Linked DNA regions of Cricetulus griseus. The protein of the gene in region 1 interacts with the protein of each later gene in a biochemical or structural test. Links are inferred from orthologs where the notes say so. Each region holds a gene or a part of one and is shown on either strand. Other genes may lie near its edges.

Evidence for each region. The genes of interacting proteins can lie anywhere in the genome.
Region 2: the proteins of Arhgef12 (region 1) and Igf1r form a complex in vitro, tested with the Homo sapiens proteins (2 studies listed by BioGRID and IntAct, with this or other methods). The link is inferred for Cricetulus griseus from reciprocal best matches to the Homo sapiens genes ARHGEF12 and IGF1R.

The regions. Positions count from the first base shown.
Region 1 is NC_048597.1:154,789,205-154,799,828, reverse strand, and holds the start of Arhgef12 (rho guanine nucleotide exchange factor 12), read left to right. Parts: upstream 1-3,986; 5' UTR 3,987-4,251; coding exon 4,252-4,283; intron 4,284-10,624. UniProt on the Homo sapiens protein: May play a role in the regulation of RhoA GTPase by guanine nucleotide-binding alpha-12 (GNA12) and alpha-13 (GNA13). Acts as guanine nucleotide exchange factor (GEF) for RhoA GTPase and may act as GTPase-activating protein (GAP) for GNA12 and GNA13.
Region 2 is NC_048596.1:129,270,003-129,273,961, reverse strand, and holds the start of Igf1r (insulin-like growth factor 1 receptor), read left to right. Parts: upstream 1-1,159; 5' UTR 1,160-1,630; coding exon 1,631-1,724; intron 1,725-3,959. UniProt on the Homo sapiens protein: Receptor tyrosine kinase which mediates actions of insulin-like growth factor 1 (IGF1). Binds IGF1 with high affinity and IGF2 and insulin (INS) with a lower affinity. The activated IGF1R is involved in cell growth and survival control.

The DNA.
Region 1 (10,624 bases):
GAGTGACTACAGATGGTATTGGCTACAGAAACCAGTCATGGGGGAGAGGTTGGGAACATGTAGACATTCTTGCAAATGGAAAGGCACTTTAACAGTGGGGGCCTTTTAAGGTGGCTGCTGTATAGTTAAAGGGGTTGCATTTGGCTCTTGGGCTGTTGTTTTCAGGAAAGATAGCACCATGCTCCCTTTTCTATGATTTGTGTCCCAGATATGCCAGTGTGCTTCTTTCCAGCAAAACTGAGCAGAATTGGAACCTGGGGAATGCTGATTTCAGCAAAAGAGTGGCTTGGCACACGAGCAGAAAGGAAAAACAAAACAAAACTGGCTTTTTCTTTTGGCACTGTGCAACCTGCTCCAGACCAGATGAGCAGGCTTAATCTAATGCCGGCTCTTTTCTCCCTTACCCCTCAGAGGTAAAGATTGTAGATCTTTCTGTTGGAGGCACACTCAAGGGAATGTCTGTAGATTTTATTTTATTTGATTTGATAAGAAGACACCTGAACAAGTGATAAGGGGGGAGGAATTCTGCATTTCAGCTTTTCTTGATGTTCTAACTAGTAACCATGAAGACATTTCTCTTAGAGAACAATGTGAAGATGACTCAGCAGTTAGGAGGTTGCCTGTTTTTACAACACAGGTAAATGAAGGGCAGATTAGCGTGTGATGTGTCTCTAGACAAAAGGGAATACTTGCATTTGAATTACTGTGTAATCATCACTGATATTGCTCAAGAAGGATTTATATTTCAATATGATTTGTACTAAATTTTATAAAAATAAAGTAACTTTTTATAGACTCAGAGTCTGCCTTTGTATCTTTCTTTATTGTGGCTTTGCCAAGAAAAGCAGCCTTTGTCCTGTAGAAATGTTGACATCCATTCATACTTGGTGGTGACAGTAATCTGCTCTTTGGCATTAACCATTCCTACTTTTTATATGGGAGATAACAATCAGCACACAGAAAATAGTTTGCCTAAAGAGGAAGAATATCTCTCTGATTTGCCACCTGTTTGAGCAGTTGCTGTCTCCCCTCCCCCCAAGCTTCAGGTATGCTAGGCAAGCACTCTACTTCGGAGCTATATCCTCGCCCCTCTTTTTTTGTGACAGGGCCTCACTTTGTAGTATAGGCTGGCCTGAAACTCACTATGTAGACTGCCTCCAAACTCAAAGTAATCCTACTGTCTCAGCCTCCCAAGTGCTGGGATTAGAGATGTAAGCTACCATACTCAGCTAGATTGAATTTCTATTATTTAGATCAGTCCTGGACACAGTAGGTCCTTAGTAAGCACACTGAAGTAATAGATAAGAGGACAAATGTGGCTTAGAGGACATCTCATCGGAAAACTGTGTGTTCAGTGATTAGGTCATTGGTGCTACCTCCTAGGTAAAGGGTATGACCTAGGGAGCAGGCCTTGGTTTGCTTGATTGTGTGTTCTATAGGTAGATAGGTTTTAGGACAGTGGAGCAGCCAACAGCTATAATGAGGCATTTACCTAGGATATTTAAATAAAATCAATGCCTTGCAAGTGATTAGAGATTTTCATCATTGAAACAGTAGTTTGGGAGTGAATAACCACTGGTTATTCAGTCCTTTGCTGACCGACCATCTTCTGAGGCTTTCCCACAGCAGAATGCCTTCTTTGCTCACAGTTAGAACCTTGGGGTTGTTAAATTTGGAAAGATGTTGAAAGCAGCTTGCCAAAAGGTTTTGTATGCAAGGAAGAGAAGGTGAATTAGGAAATGTTCCCAGTTTGTTTTATTCCTGAAACTTAAGCATTGAGGCAGACTGGAAAGGAAGATGGGAACTTATTTTTAAAATTCATGATTTGATGAGTCATCAGACTCCATTCATTTAATACTTGCATTGTAACACTATTAGAACAAGGGAGAGTAGGACAGTACACTCAGGACAACTTGAGTAAGCTTGGGCATAAGGTTTGCATTTTGTTTACTGTATATAGATTTATGGAACTCTTTCCAGCTATAGGTAGAAACAAGTGGAGTCTTCAGGATAGTGTTGCCATGTTGGGATTTACCAGCAGATGGCAACGTGTCCAGGTCTGATCATTAGGAAAGTGGCTTGGAACTCGAATCTGCTTCTATTCTTTCCAAAAATAAACATTACAAAATTAGCTGGCTGTGCCCGGAACATAACATAACAAAAAAAAAAAAAAAAAAAAAAACCCAGCAAGAGAGTCATTTCAGGCGTCTGTTTATCTTTCCCCTTTGTACCCTGTTCTAACGTCACCTTGAGCTCATGCATCTATTCAGGGATAATGATCCTTTCACGAACTGTTGTGGAATGACTTGGAAACATTATTAAGAGGCAACTGTTTCCTCTCCACATGCACTGTTTATTAGATTTGATTTCCACAAAATGGCCGAAGTCTCTTCCTACCGACACGGCTTGAAGCTCAGAAGTTTAAAGATAATTGTATAAAAGGAATAGCCATTTGACGTTTGCAGGCAGAATTGGAGAGATATATTGTGTCGTGATACTTCATTTCTTCAGGCAGAGAATTAGTCAGTCATAACACTGCATGGGTAGCTGCATGCCTCTACCCCATCGAAAAAGAAACCGGAAAACAACATTTGGGAACTCTTCAAAGAGATCCCTAATGCTGTTTACAGGACAGATGTATTTCTTCTCCCATCTCTTTTCACAACAAGCTTATTAACTTGCTGTGGAAAGCACCATGTTTTCTCAATTTGGCAAATAATACAGTTCATTTTGCCAAGGCAAAACAGCCTAAAAGCAATATTTATATCAAGAACTCCTGGCTTCATGTGGGCCCAGATCCTTTCTCCTCAGTCTTTTCTGGCCACCCCACCCCGCGGCTGCAGGCTGGGCTAGCAGGTGCCCCAGGTGAGTGGACCACCCCCAAACCTGTCTGTGTGCGGGTTTGCCTAACACTGTCAGGGCCCGTGCACCCGGGCTCGTGTGCAGCCATCAAAAGCATCTGACACCGGGAATCGAGTACATTCCCTTAAAGAATAAAAGTTTCAAGCGCAAGAGAGGCGGGGAATTCCCCGAAGACCCTCTAGACGTGAACTCCGGGATTATGGAATGGCTCGTCTGCTGTCCCGGGTGGAACCTACACTCTGGACTGCACCTCGAGGGGATACAGGGACAGCGAGGACAGCGGCTGGCGGCGGAGAGAGAAGCAGCTTCCTTCTGACCCGCAGAACTACTTTTCGCTCCCGCCATCCCCCTTGACAGCGTTGCGCGGAAGTATCCGCGCAAGTTTGGAGAGTCCGGGAAGCGGAGGGATCCCGGGTGAGGCGGCTTCCCGAAGTCCCAGGGAGAAGGGCCCAAAAAGTCGGCGGGGGAGGGGCCGGCTCGGCGCGCTCCAGCCGCGCCGGACCGAGGAGACAGAACCGGAACCGGAACCCCCGCGCGCGCCCGCAGTGGTCGCAAGGCCCGTCACCGCCGGCGGACCCCCTCTGTCGTGCGCGCTCCCGCCAGTGCTCCTGAGGACCCGGCGAGCGGCCCTCCGCGCGGAGCAGCAGCCGCCGCCGCCGCCGCCGCTTCTCGGGGGCCGGGCTTCCGGGCCGGGCCGGGCCGGGCCCTCCCGCTCCTCGCGGGAGCCGCCGCCTACCAGAGCGTCGGGGAGGAGCCGTCGTGCCACTGCGGAAGAAGCGCGGGGGCCTCCGAGGGATGGGGAGCTGCTGGCGGAGCTGAGACAGGGTCCCTGTCAGCGCGGCGGCCGGTGCCGGGTGGGGGCGGCGCGGAGCAGCTCGGGGCCCCGGCCCGGGGACATGGGGCGGTGCGATCCCGTCGCGGGACGGCGCGAGACGCGGCGGAGGCTGCGGCCACGAGCGGCCGGCAGCCCCAGATAGAGCGGGGACCCGAGGGCCGGGCTCCGCCGACTCGGGACAGGAGGCGACGCCCGTCCCGAGCCGATCCTACCATAGCCTCGGAGGGATCCGAGTTCCCGTCCCAAGCCTCGCGACTTCCCTCTGACGAAGTTTTTCCCCTCGTGCCTTGCTGAAGATCATTCCTAGTTCTAGAACTCGCCTGTGGCCGACTTGCTCGGTTTGTTTGGGGAGATAACTTGTTTTGCTTCAACCCGCATCCCCTTTCCTTGACCCCTTGCAATCGGATGTTCTAGATGACTGAATGGAGTTTTGAGTTGGACTTTTGTGTCCCTGCCGAAATTGAGCCTGATCCCAGAGCACTGGGGGTGGGGTGTGGAGGTGTTACTGTAAAATGCAAGTTGGATAAAAAGAAGACCTCTCGCCAAGGGCCCCAATGAGTGGCACACAGTCAACTATCACGGACAGGTGGGTATGAAGTTCCTCGGTCGCTAACCTTCCCTGTTTTTGGCCCCACGCTGCAGGGGAGTCGGTGATTGCCGACTTGCCTTCAGCTAGTGCAATTGACAGGCATAGGAAAGAAGGTTGTTTCGGAGCTGTGCAATTAGTCTAGGGTTGCTGCCAAGTTATCCGGTTGATTGAATTTGGAAATGCAGTTGTTTTTTTTGGGGGGGGCAGAAACTTTCCCCATATTCTCAGAGGAAATTAAGGAAAACCATAGCTGTGGTTTTCTGTCGGGTACATTAGGATTGTGTACTCATTTTGGAACCAGCGGAAGGTCATTTTGGGTGAAGGTCAGAGCCCGAGGTCGGTGGGTATTGGTGCATCATCAGGTTGATTCCTATCCCGTGGTAGTTCTAGACCCTTAATTTTAGGAGTTTATGTCTGTGAACTTACTTTTCATCCTGCTTCATGGTGATTTGTGAATCTGATCTCTTTCTATGTGACCTGCACAGTGTTTAATTATTAATTACCTAATTTTCCAGAATGTTGACACTACCAGTAAATCACGGGCTCTTGCTGGGGACAGTTTCCAGGAGCTAAAGGAAATGAGGGAAAACCATGGGGCCTGCTTCTAATTATTCTTTTTTGCATTTCATCTTCTAGATGCTCTCGAATTTAAAGCTGTAAACCCTAAGTCTGGTTTAGGCATGGCAGGTGGATCTTGTTTGTTAATCAGGGTTGCATGGCATTGTGTATAGAATATGTGGCCCTAGTGTAATTCTCTGACACTTAAAGAGTTCTTTTGAGTACTTTTCAGTGAAAGCAAGTTGGTTCCTTCAACATGTTTTATTTCTCAATTTAATTATGACATTGTATGTTACTTCCAAATTTTAACTTGCTGTTTTTTTTTAAGTTAGCCTTTAAATTGTTATTAAACAAACAAACAATTGAAGCAGAAGGCCAGAAGTCTATAATGCTCCTGCAGAAAGCCGTTTAATTTCCTAATAAGAGAGTCTCACCCAATTGTGAGACTCATCTGTTGATTTTTAAAGGATCCAAATTCCATTATCATACCATAACAGCTCCTCCAGAGACAGAACTTCCTTTTCCTGTTGATGCTTTTCAGTGTCACATGAGCGTTCACCTAAAAGATGCCCTTAAATATTTAAACTACTTATGTTTACCCTTTGTTTGTGTACTTTGCTAGGCAGGATTTTGTTTTCAGTTTTCCTGCAAATACACTTTACGTATATGTAGAGGTAGTTGTTTTGTGTCTTCTTGCCTCCCCATCCTTATTCCTTCTCCTTTCTTAGTGTTTTGTTTCTGACACCTCTGAGAAATCACTCACAGGTGTCCATATAATTGTTCTTCTGGTTCATTCAGTTCTTGTCCTTTCTACTGATGTAGTCCTGGTTTTCATTAAGATGCTTCGGAGTCTAATTTGTAGAAAAATACTTTAGAGTCACTGAATCATTGCATACAAAAGTCACACAGAAGCACCCATGTACTTTTTTTTTTTTTACCAGCTTTGCATCTCAGGGATTTTTGTTCTCTTTTTGGTATCTTGGAAATAAAACATTGGGTCATCTTTTTTATACTTAATTCTGCATATGAACAATAAACATTCAATTTGGTCTTTTTTGTTTGTTTGTTTGTTTGTTTTTGTCTTTGTTTTTTCGAGACCTGATTTCTCTGTGGCTTTGGAGGCAGTCCTGGAACTAGCTCTTGTAGACCAGGCTGGTCTCGAACTCACAGAGATCCACCTGCCTCTGCCTCCCAAGTGCTGGGACTAAAGGCATGCACCACCATCGCCCGGCCAAACATTCAGTTTTTAAAAAGTTTTATTTTTGTATTTTTACTTCTACAATGTGTGTGTGTTCATGGGTATGTACACTTGAGTGCAGGTGCCCTCAGAGACTAGAAGTGGCTTTAGGATTCCCTGGGTGATTGGGAGCTGTCTACCCTGGATGCTGGAGACCTGACTTGGGTCCTCTGCTCTTAACTGCTGAGCCATCTATCTCCCTAGCCCAATTTTTGTTTTGTTTTTGTGAGACAGATTGTTGCTGTATGTCAGTCAGTCCACCTGCTCAGCTTCTAGAGAGCTGGGACTGAAGAGATGGGCTACCTTCCTGCAGGGTTCTTGCTCTTAGATATTTGTGTGAGAACAGTGGATGCACATTCTATGAAATCATGTGTTGTATCCTTTTTTTTTTTTTTTTTTCTTTTCTGTTTTTTTCCCCCACCTTAGATAGGTTGTCTCTGTGCAGCTCTGGCTGTCAAGGAACTTGCTCTGTAGACCAGGCTGGCCTTGAACTCACAGAGTTCTGCTTGCTTCTGCTTCCCAACATACTTAAAGGCTTGTTGTATCAAACCACAGTGGAAAAAAAAGTTGATGCTGGTGAAGGGAAGCAGTCTAAATAATGTTAATGCTTTGTGGGGCTTAGGCCTAAATCTTCTCAGTGTAAACCTTTACTAGGTTGCTTTAGACAACTGAGCCATGTAAAATAAGATGATAGAAAGTTTATTTCAAAACTGATTGAAATCCTGTTCTTGGTCAGACACTGGGGGTTGACTTTTTTTTTCTTTCTTCAAAAAGAGAATTAATATGTGATAACTGCTTTTTTTTTTTCTTCTAAACTTATTCTGCAAATGTAAAGCAGCCCTTTCTCTTTAAGAGAGTAGTTCCTGGTTTGAATATATGTTGAGGTGAAATCTGGAAGTACTGGTTTAGTAATAAGTGTATGCCAGGGTGCCTTAGCAAAGTTCCTCATATAAAATCTAGCTCCCCCCCCTCAGCCTTCTGTATATCTTCTCTCACTGACTCCAGTGTTCAGAGACCCTTTCAAGTTTGAAGTACTGTATGTGGTATGGCTTTGTTCTGTAGAGTGTTCAGAGCCACCAGGCCAGCTGTATGAGTTGCAGTTCTTTCATTGTGGTGCTTCTGACTACAGAGTCTGTCTGTCCCTAGTTGAAGTCAGACTAGCTGGTTTTTGGGCGTTGTTCTGTTTTGCAGTTTGTGGCAGGCGACACATGGCTGAACAAGATAAGAAGGGTTTTATTCTTGTGTTAGGGACGTGCTGGGGCTGGGATGGAATTCAGCTATGTTTAGGCTCTGATTGGTCACTTAGGATACTCAGAACTCTGTTACATCCTGTTATTATTTTGCAGTTAAAGCCACACATTCATTTGTTCCGTTTTCTTTTATTTTTTATACTCCGGCACCCACTGACTTTTAAACCTTAAAACTTATAGTGTGTTTATAAAGGCTGCTGTTTTTATGTAATTTATCTGAAAACTTTTTCTTTTTTTTTAAATTAAGTATTTTACAGGCTCTTTCTAGTCCCTTGGCTTTGTAACTGCTGTGAGGTCAGAAGGCTGAAAAAGTGATAGAAATGTCTGATTGCCACTTTTCCATCTGCATCAATTGCTGTATTCAGCCCTAAAATAGCCTAATAATTTTCAGTGCTCCCTGGCTGGCTTCTATCTCAAGAGTGGAAGATACTGTAGTGATTGCTGTTTCATATAAGAAGTAGAGTGGAGAGAATTTTTTGTTTTTGTTTTTGTTTTTGTTTTCAGTGGATCCAGTGAATGATTATTTCAGGAGATTCTGTAACAGCAAGTCTTCAGGGTGGTACAGGTTGGAAAGTCAGCAGGGTCTTCCTTGAGATTCCTGGACTTTGTTCATTCTAGGGCTTACAGATCTTGCTGTTTTTGATTTGCAGATTGGCATAAGTTTTTGATGTGTTGGAATTTACTTAGCACTGAATTTAGCTTTAAAGGTTAACTTTTAAGCTTTTAAAGTGAACATGGAGACCTATACCTTTACATTAATATATAAAGTAGAGCTATCATTAATGTTTTTTTTTTTCTGTCAAAGTTGTCTTATAGTTCTAGTTAATAACAAAAGCAAGCAACCTACCCTCTTAGGGTTGTGTATTATTTTCAAGGTTGCATGAGTAAGATTTAATTATTTGTAACATTTTCTTATGAAATAAATCCATTTCAAATACAGACTTGAAATTGAGAATTAGGAGGCTCATACTGCCAGCTTTATACTATTTTGTCTTTTCTAAGTTCAGAATAAAGTCCTGAATAAGTCTGTAATATAACACATGTACTACTATAGTTTTACCAGTCAACATGGAGAATCCAAAGTAACTTTTTAAAAATTTGGCGTTATAATCTTCCTCATTAAAAGCACACTTATATTGTGTTTGTATTTGTTTAATGAGTTGACAAAGATGCTTATTTGAAATGATTAAAAAGTGTATTAGCCTGCTGATACCATTTCATACATAGTGATTTCTGGTTGTTAACATGTTAACATCGTAGATCATAGGCACAGCAGGATATCTTCATGGTTCTGTGTAGGTGATGGATGGATTGTATGCTGTGGTTGTCTGACAGCTATTAGAAATGCTGCTTAGTGGTTGGGGCTGTGGGTCAGTGACAGTGCTTGGAGCAAAGCAGGAGCAAACAGGTCTTACTACATAATTCTTTCCCAGAAATGGACTGGAATGATGTTTTCAGGAACGGGAGGCTTAACTTAATTTTGTCTCATCTGTTAAAATTTGGATTTGATGATTTAATTAACATGGAACTAAGATCCCTTCTCTTACTGAGGAATTTTCAGAAGTCACACAACCCTGTTGTCTCCTGTTGAATAAAATATTCTTTCATGTACAGTGATATCCTATGGTAGTATAATTTTTATAAAAAAGTGGGACAGTCAGACATGATTTTTCCTCCTGTGCTGCTAATGGTCCTAAAGGCCTCGTGTGCCAGGCAGACCTTCAGATTCAAGACTTCATAATCTGGATTTTGTAGATTCAAACTGTCCTTTTTGTTTTGTTTTGTTTTGTTTCTTTCTTGCTTGTTTATTTATTTTGTTTTTCGAGACAGGGTTTCTCTGTGTAGCTTTGGAGCCTGTCCCTCTGTAGACCAGGCTGGCCTTGAACCAAGAGGTCAACCTGCCTCTGTCTGCCTAGTGTTGGGATTAAAGGCTTGTGCCAACACTGCCTGACTTTTTTTTTTTTTTAAACCTTAAATTGTTTTCTTTTTACATATATTATTATTATTTTTTCTGTTTACCATTGTTTAGTAGCTTGCCAATCTCACCGAAAAAGAATAGGGTATTTTTTTCTCACAGGATGCTTTCTTCCTGGTCCCTTATCTGTGCTAACTTTAAATATCTCTAGAGAATAAAGCTTTTGTCACTTCCTCAGGAGACTGAACAACAGGCTGATAGGTCTTGTAGTCAGGAAGCTTTTCCTGATCTTCAGCTCAAGCTTTTCTTTTAAGTTGTCCTGGTAACTTGTGTGTCTTTTTGCTGTACCAGGCTAAATGATGCTTTTCTGCCATTTTGAGTTTTCATTCCTGTATTGGTTCATGTGGTTAGCCGCTGCTTTCTTTCTAGTTCTCCTTCCCTTACTTATTCTTTGTTTAGCCAAGTTATGTTTTCTCTTGTTCCATTGTCTAAATGTCAGTCTGTCTCTCTTAATATTTTATTAGCTTTCCCTGACTTGCTATCCTAGTACAATTTTTAGTTGGTCTCCTGGTACAAAATGTGATACACTATATGATTCATATTCTAGAGAAACAAGTTCCAACTTATTTTTACTGTGATTCTGAGTTCTTTGATTTTTCTCCAGCATGGCCCTAGCCCCCAAATTACATGTAAAGAGATTCTTAGAAGAAATGTAGATAGGTAGATAGATGTATGCCTGTATGTATCTATAAACTTTATACTTGGGATTAAATCCAGGGCCTCAGGCTTGCTGGGCAAACAGTTGGCTATATTCTCTGGCTATGTGTTTATTTTAGATAGCATTTAGAATGGGTGTAAGAGATTGTAGCAACCAAATGAAACAAACATATACAAATAACATAATTACCAAATCAGCTAATTAAACAATTACTCATGTTTTAGAAGACTTCTTTATAAAGTGATTCTTTCAAATGTAGTTCCCCTAATACATCAAAAAGTAGAATATGGTAATACTGTCAGGAACCTTTGTTGATTCAAATTAGTCAGAAATGAAAACAAAGTATCACTAGGTCAATGAAGAGCTGCAACTGTAGCTTTAAGGTAATGTGGTAAAAGTCATCTGGAAATTGTTACTCTTCTAGTGGTTTGTTTCACTTTGTTACTTAAAATGTTACCTCCCTTATGTCTTCATACTAATTTTAAGAAATATCTCTGCAGTGCTTGCTTAGTAGTGATTTCCTGGTAGAATAGAGTACTGTTAAAATTTAAATAATACTTCTATCTGGAGAGATGGCTCAGGCTAGGAGTGTGTATTGCTCTTATATAGGACCCAAGTTCAGTTCCCAGCACCCACATCAGGAGGCTCTTAACAGATTAT
Region 2 (3,959 bases), on another chromosome or scaffold:
AACACCTGGGGAGCGCCGCCACGGGCGCCCGAGCCTGGCGTGGAAAGTGCCCTGCTTAGCAATCTTCGGGGGTCCCCTTTCCCCAGGTGTGCCCCTCCCGCCGCGTCTGGGCTTTCCACCACGCTGCGAAAAAATGCTGCATGCATGCACTTATTTATTTATTTTGCAACAGCTGCAAGAAACAATGAAGCTTTTTCACAGAGCGGGCCAGCGCGCTCTCCAGCCGCGCTGTTGTTGTTTTCAATGAAGCTCGGGGCCGCACTCCCCGCCCACCGCGCCCGCAGCCCGCCTGCTCGTCCGCCCGCCCTGCCACCTCCCGGGCCACCGAGTCCCACCGGCGCCCGGGGCATTGTTTTTTGGAGTCCTGCGGGAGGGGTGGGTGCGTACAGGGCTGGCCGGCGCAGTGCGGGTGGGGGCGGAAGCGTGGGCGCGCGCGTGGCTCTGTGTGCGCGCGGGGGCCAGCGCGGGTGGAGGCGCGGGGGGCGGTGCCTCCCTAGCCCGGCTCCCCACGCCCGCGCTCCGCTCCGCACGTCCCTGCGATCCCGAACTCCGGCTCTTGGCGCCTGCCGAGTCGGGGCCCGGCCCTCGGCGCGCCGGGACTGCGGCTGTGGACGCTTGGAGTGTGCGCGCGGGCACGTGTGCGCGGCCCCGAGAGCGCGCGCGTAGAGCCCCCAGTGTGTGGCGGCGGCGGCGCGGTGAGGCTGAGGTTCTTGTTTACCAGCATTAACTCCGCTGAGCGGAAAAAAAAAAAAAAGCGGGGGAGGGGGGAACCGAGGAGGAGGGAGCGCACCGGGCGAACTCGAGAGAGGCCAGCGACAGGGAAGCCGCCAGCGAGCCTGTCCCGGCGCGCTTGGTGCTCGCAGCCCCTCGGCCCCTCTCCTCGGACCCTCCACGCCTCTCCCGCGCCTGCGAGAGCTCCACGGCGCGCGGCGCGCTCGGCTTTGACCTTCAGCGAGCCGGAGCCCCCGCGCACGGAGTCGGCGGCGGGCGGGGGCCGACGTGGGGCGGCGGGAGCTCAGAGCGCTGCACGGCCGCCGCTTTGTGTGTGTGTGTCCTGGATTTGGGAAGGAGCTCGCGGCGGCGGCGGCGCTGAGGGAGGAGGAGGAGGCGGCGGCGAGCGGAGCCCAGAGGAGGAGGAGGAGCCCGAGGAGGGGGAGCCGCTCATTCATTTCCACTCCGCATATCTGCCCCTCGCCGACCTCGCCCGCGCCCGGGACTTCGGACCAGTCTCGCCAACTGCGTCGCGCTCTCCCGCCGCGGAGGCTTGGCCGGTTGCTCCCTCCGGGCATCTGGGGACGTTTGTCCTCGCCTGTGGCGATTTGGGCTTTGCTCCTCTCTCCGTACAGTTTTTCCCCCTCTTCTGCATCTCTGGGTTTGCAAATGGAGGCCGACGACGCCGACAGCCCGCCCCGGCGCGCCCCGGCTTCCCGACTCCGCCGCGCCGTGGGCCGCTGCTGCCGGCGCTGAAGGGGCCGCCCCGCGCCACCCTCCCCGTCCACGCCGCCTTCCGAGAATCGTCGCCTGCGCTCTTGTTTTTGAAGGAGAGTGAGGACTGAGTTGGAGACTTTTCTTTTCTTTTTTCTTTTTCTTTTTCTTTTGAGAGAAGGGAATTGCGTCCCAAATAAAAGGAATGAAGTCTGGCTCCGGAGGAGGGTCCCCGACCTCACTGTGGGGGCTCGTGTTTCTCTCTGCCGCGCTCTCGCTGTGGCCGACGAGTGGAGAAAGTGAGTATTTGCCCGCCGCCCGCGGCCACTGCGGGAACTTTTCCTCCGAGGGGCTGCGCCCTGTTTGGGAAAACCCAGTTGCCACGGGCGCAGCTGTCGGACTCCCGAGCTCGAGAGCGGAGGGTGGGGCTCTCACTGAAGGCAGGAGGGGAGCTTAAGGCTCGGGACCCCCACGGACTCTGGCTCAGCGCATCCGTGCTCAGGAAGGGCCTCAGGGCTTTCTCTTTCACTGTCCCGGGAGCGCTGTCCCGCGCGCGGCCTGGTGGGTGGGCAGCACTTGCTCCACGGCTCTTCAGGGACACTCCCGCGCGTGGGCACTTGGTGGGGAAGTTGGTGTCTGGGTGGGTTCAGGGTCCCTGCCACCCTCGTCTCTCCTCACCCCTGCGCGCGGGCATCTCCACACCCAGCGCCCATCCCGCGCAGCGCACCACGGTGACAGCACCTTTGGAGGCTTCACCGGTGGCTCATGGGGTAGACTGAGTGCGCCGTGGCGGCGAGCGGGAGCCTCCTGCCCTGCGGGGTGCAAGTTGTCCTTGAGGGGGAGGTGCGGGGTGGGGAGGCCTCGCGGCCCCAGGAAACGTTTCCAAACATCACGGCATGGCCTCCTGTCGTCCAACTTGTTTGGCCCATAAGGTCCCTAGGGTTTTTGGCCTTTAGCATCATCTCACATGATACGATGGGCGTCTAGTCCCCTCGTCCCCCACGGCTTCGTGACTCGGGACTCATCGGTGTGGCTCTGGGGTTCAGGGTTTATTCCCCGGCTTTCCCTAGGGAAGCGTGAGCTTGGGACCTTCTTCAGACTCCTTCGGGGGTGCGAGGCTTGGATCCCCAACTTTGAGGGTCCTTGGGCAGTCTGTAAGTTTCTACCCAGCCCTGGACACCCCTTCTTCCTAAAAGCGTCTAAGTAAAACGTGGTCGGGACATCAACCCATGAGCAGAGCCGATGTGCTTTTCCACACACGTGTGTTCTCAGCGCGGGTTTAGGGGCATCCACAGCCACACGACCCGAGGGGACACCTGGACTCCTAGCCCGGGGGAGAGGTGTCGTGTGCGTTGGTTTGGGCAGCGTCAGTGTGGTAGTGGAGGAGTGGTTGTTTTGTTTTGCAAGCGCGGAGCTCTGGCCTTGGTTTTGTTGTGGCCAGAGTTGTGTTGCACTGCCCCCCCCCCCCGCCCCCCGCACTTCCTTTGTACATACTTAATAAGCAGTATCGCTCCACGCTCGCTATCGCTTGCAATCTGATAGCTTTTGTTTTGGTGGTGTTGGGTAGGAGTGAGTGTGTGTGTGTGTGTGTGTGTGTGTGTGTGTGTGTGTGTGTGTGTGTGTGTGTGTGTGTCTGGGAGTGAGCACTCTCCACAGTGTCAGGAGGAGGGAGGTGGTTTGGAGGGGGTTTGTTCTCGAGAAAAACAGTGTGGCATACTGGTAGTTTTGAGATGATAGAGTAATTTGAACACAATTAAAAGTTTAAATGCAGTCTCCGAGCTGGGGCTGGGGAGGTGAGGGCGTGCTGATGAGTAATGGTTACAGAATGTATGCAGGTGGTGCCTATTAACTTCGAAAAATCATGACGGAGTCTTGAGTTAGCGAGGGGGAGATGATGGAGGCTGCGCACGGCGTGCGGCCCCACCACTGGGGTAGTTAACAAAGGCTGTTTCTATAAACAAACCCTTGAACTTCTTTTAAGAAATGTCTGCGATGGAGTACGAGCAGATCTTTATAGAACTATAGCTGTTTACTGCCTAGAGTAAGGCGCAGACTGGGCCGACACACAGATCTGGGCTCTCCTGTCCTTTGTTTTCCAAACTTTGAACTTACTGGATTGGGCGAAAGGTTTCTGGCTCACTTCTACCCAGGCGTTTAGATGGTGTTTGGGGGCAGGGAGGATTTTTAGCCTTTAAGGACTAAATATGGTTTAGAAGGCACTAGGAAGGAGTCCATTTTACTATGGCATCCTATTGAACTATGCACTTTCTCTACTTTTGTTATTTAATAGAAGTTACGAAATGCAAAGTAGCAGCGATGGCCTTGCATCTTGGGGCAGCATGTAGGCATCTGAAACAGGTTGTGGCTGGGTCTTCATGAACAATATGCTTTGTCCAGAACAAGGGTGGCAGGAGAAGGGTGTTTTAATGTGTGTTGTTTATCATCCAGTGATAATTGGCCAAGCTCTTCCTCAGGCTTCCTGAAATGTGATGGATGGCTAGAAAGCACCCAGAATCCTTGTTAGGGCCTGCTGA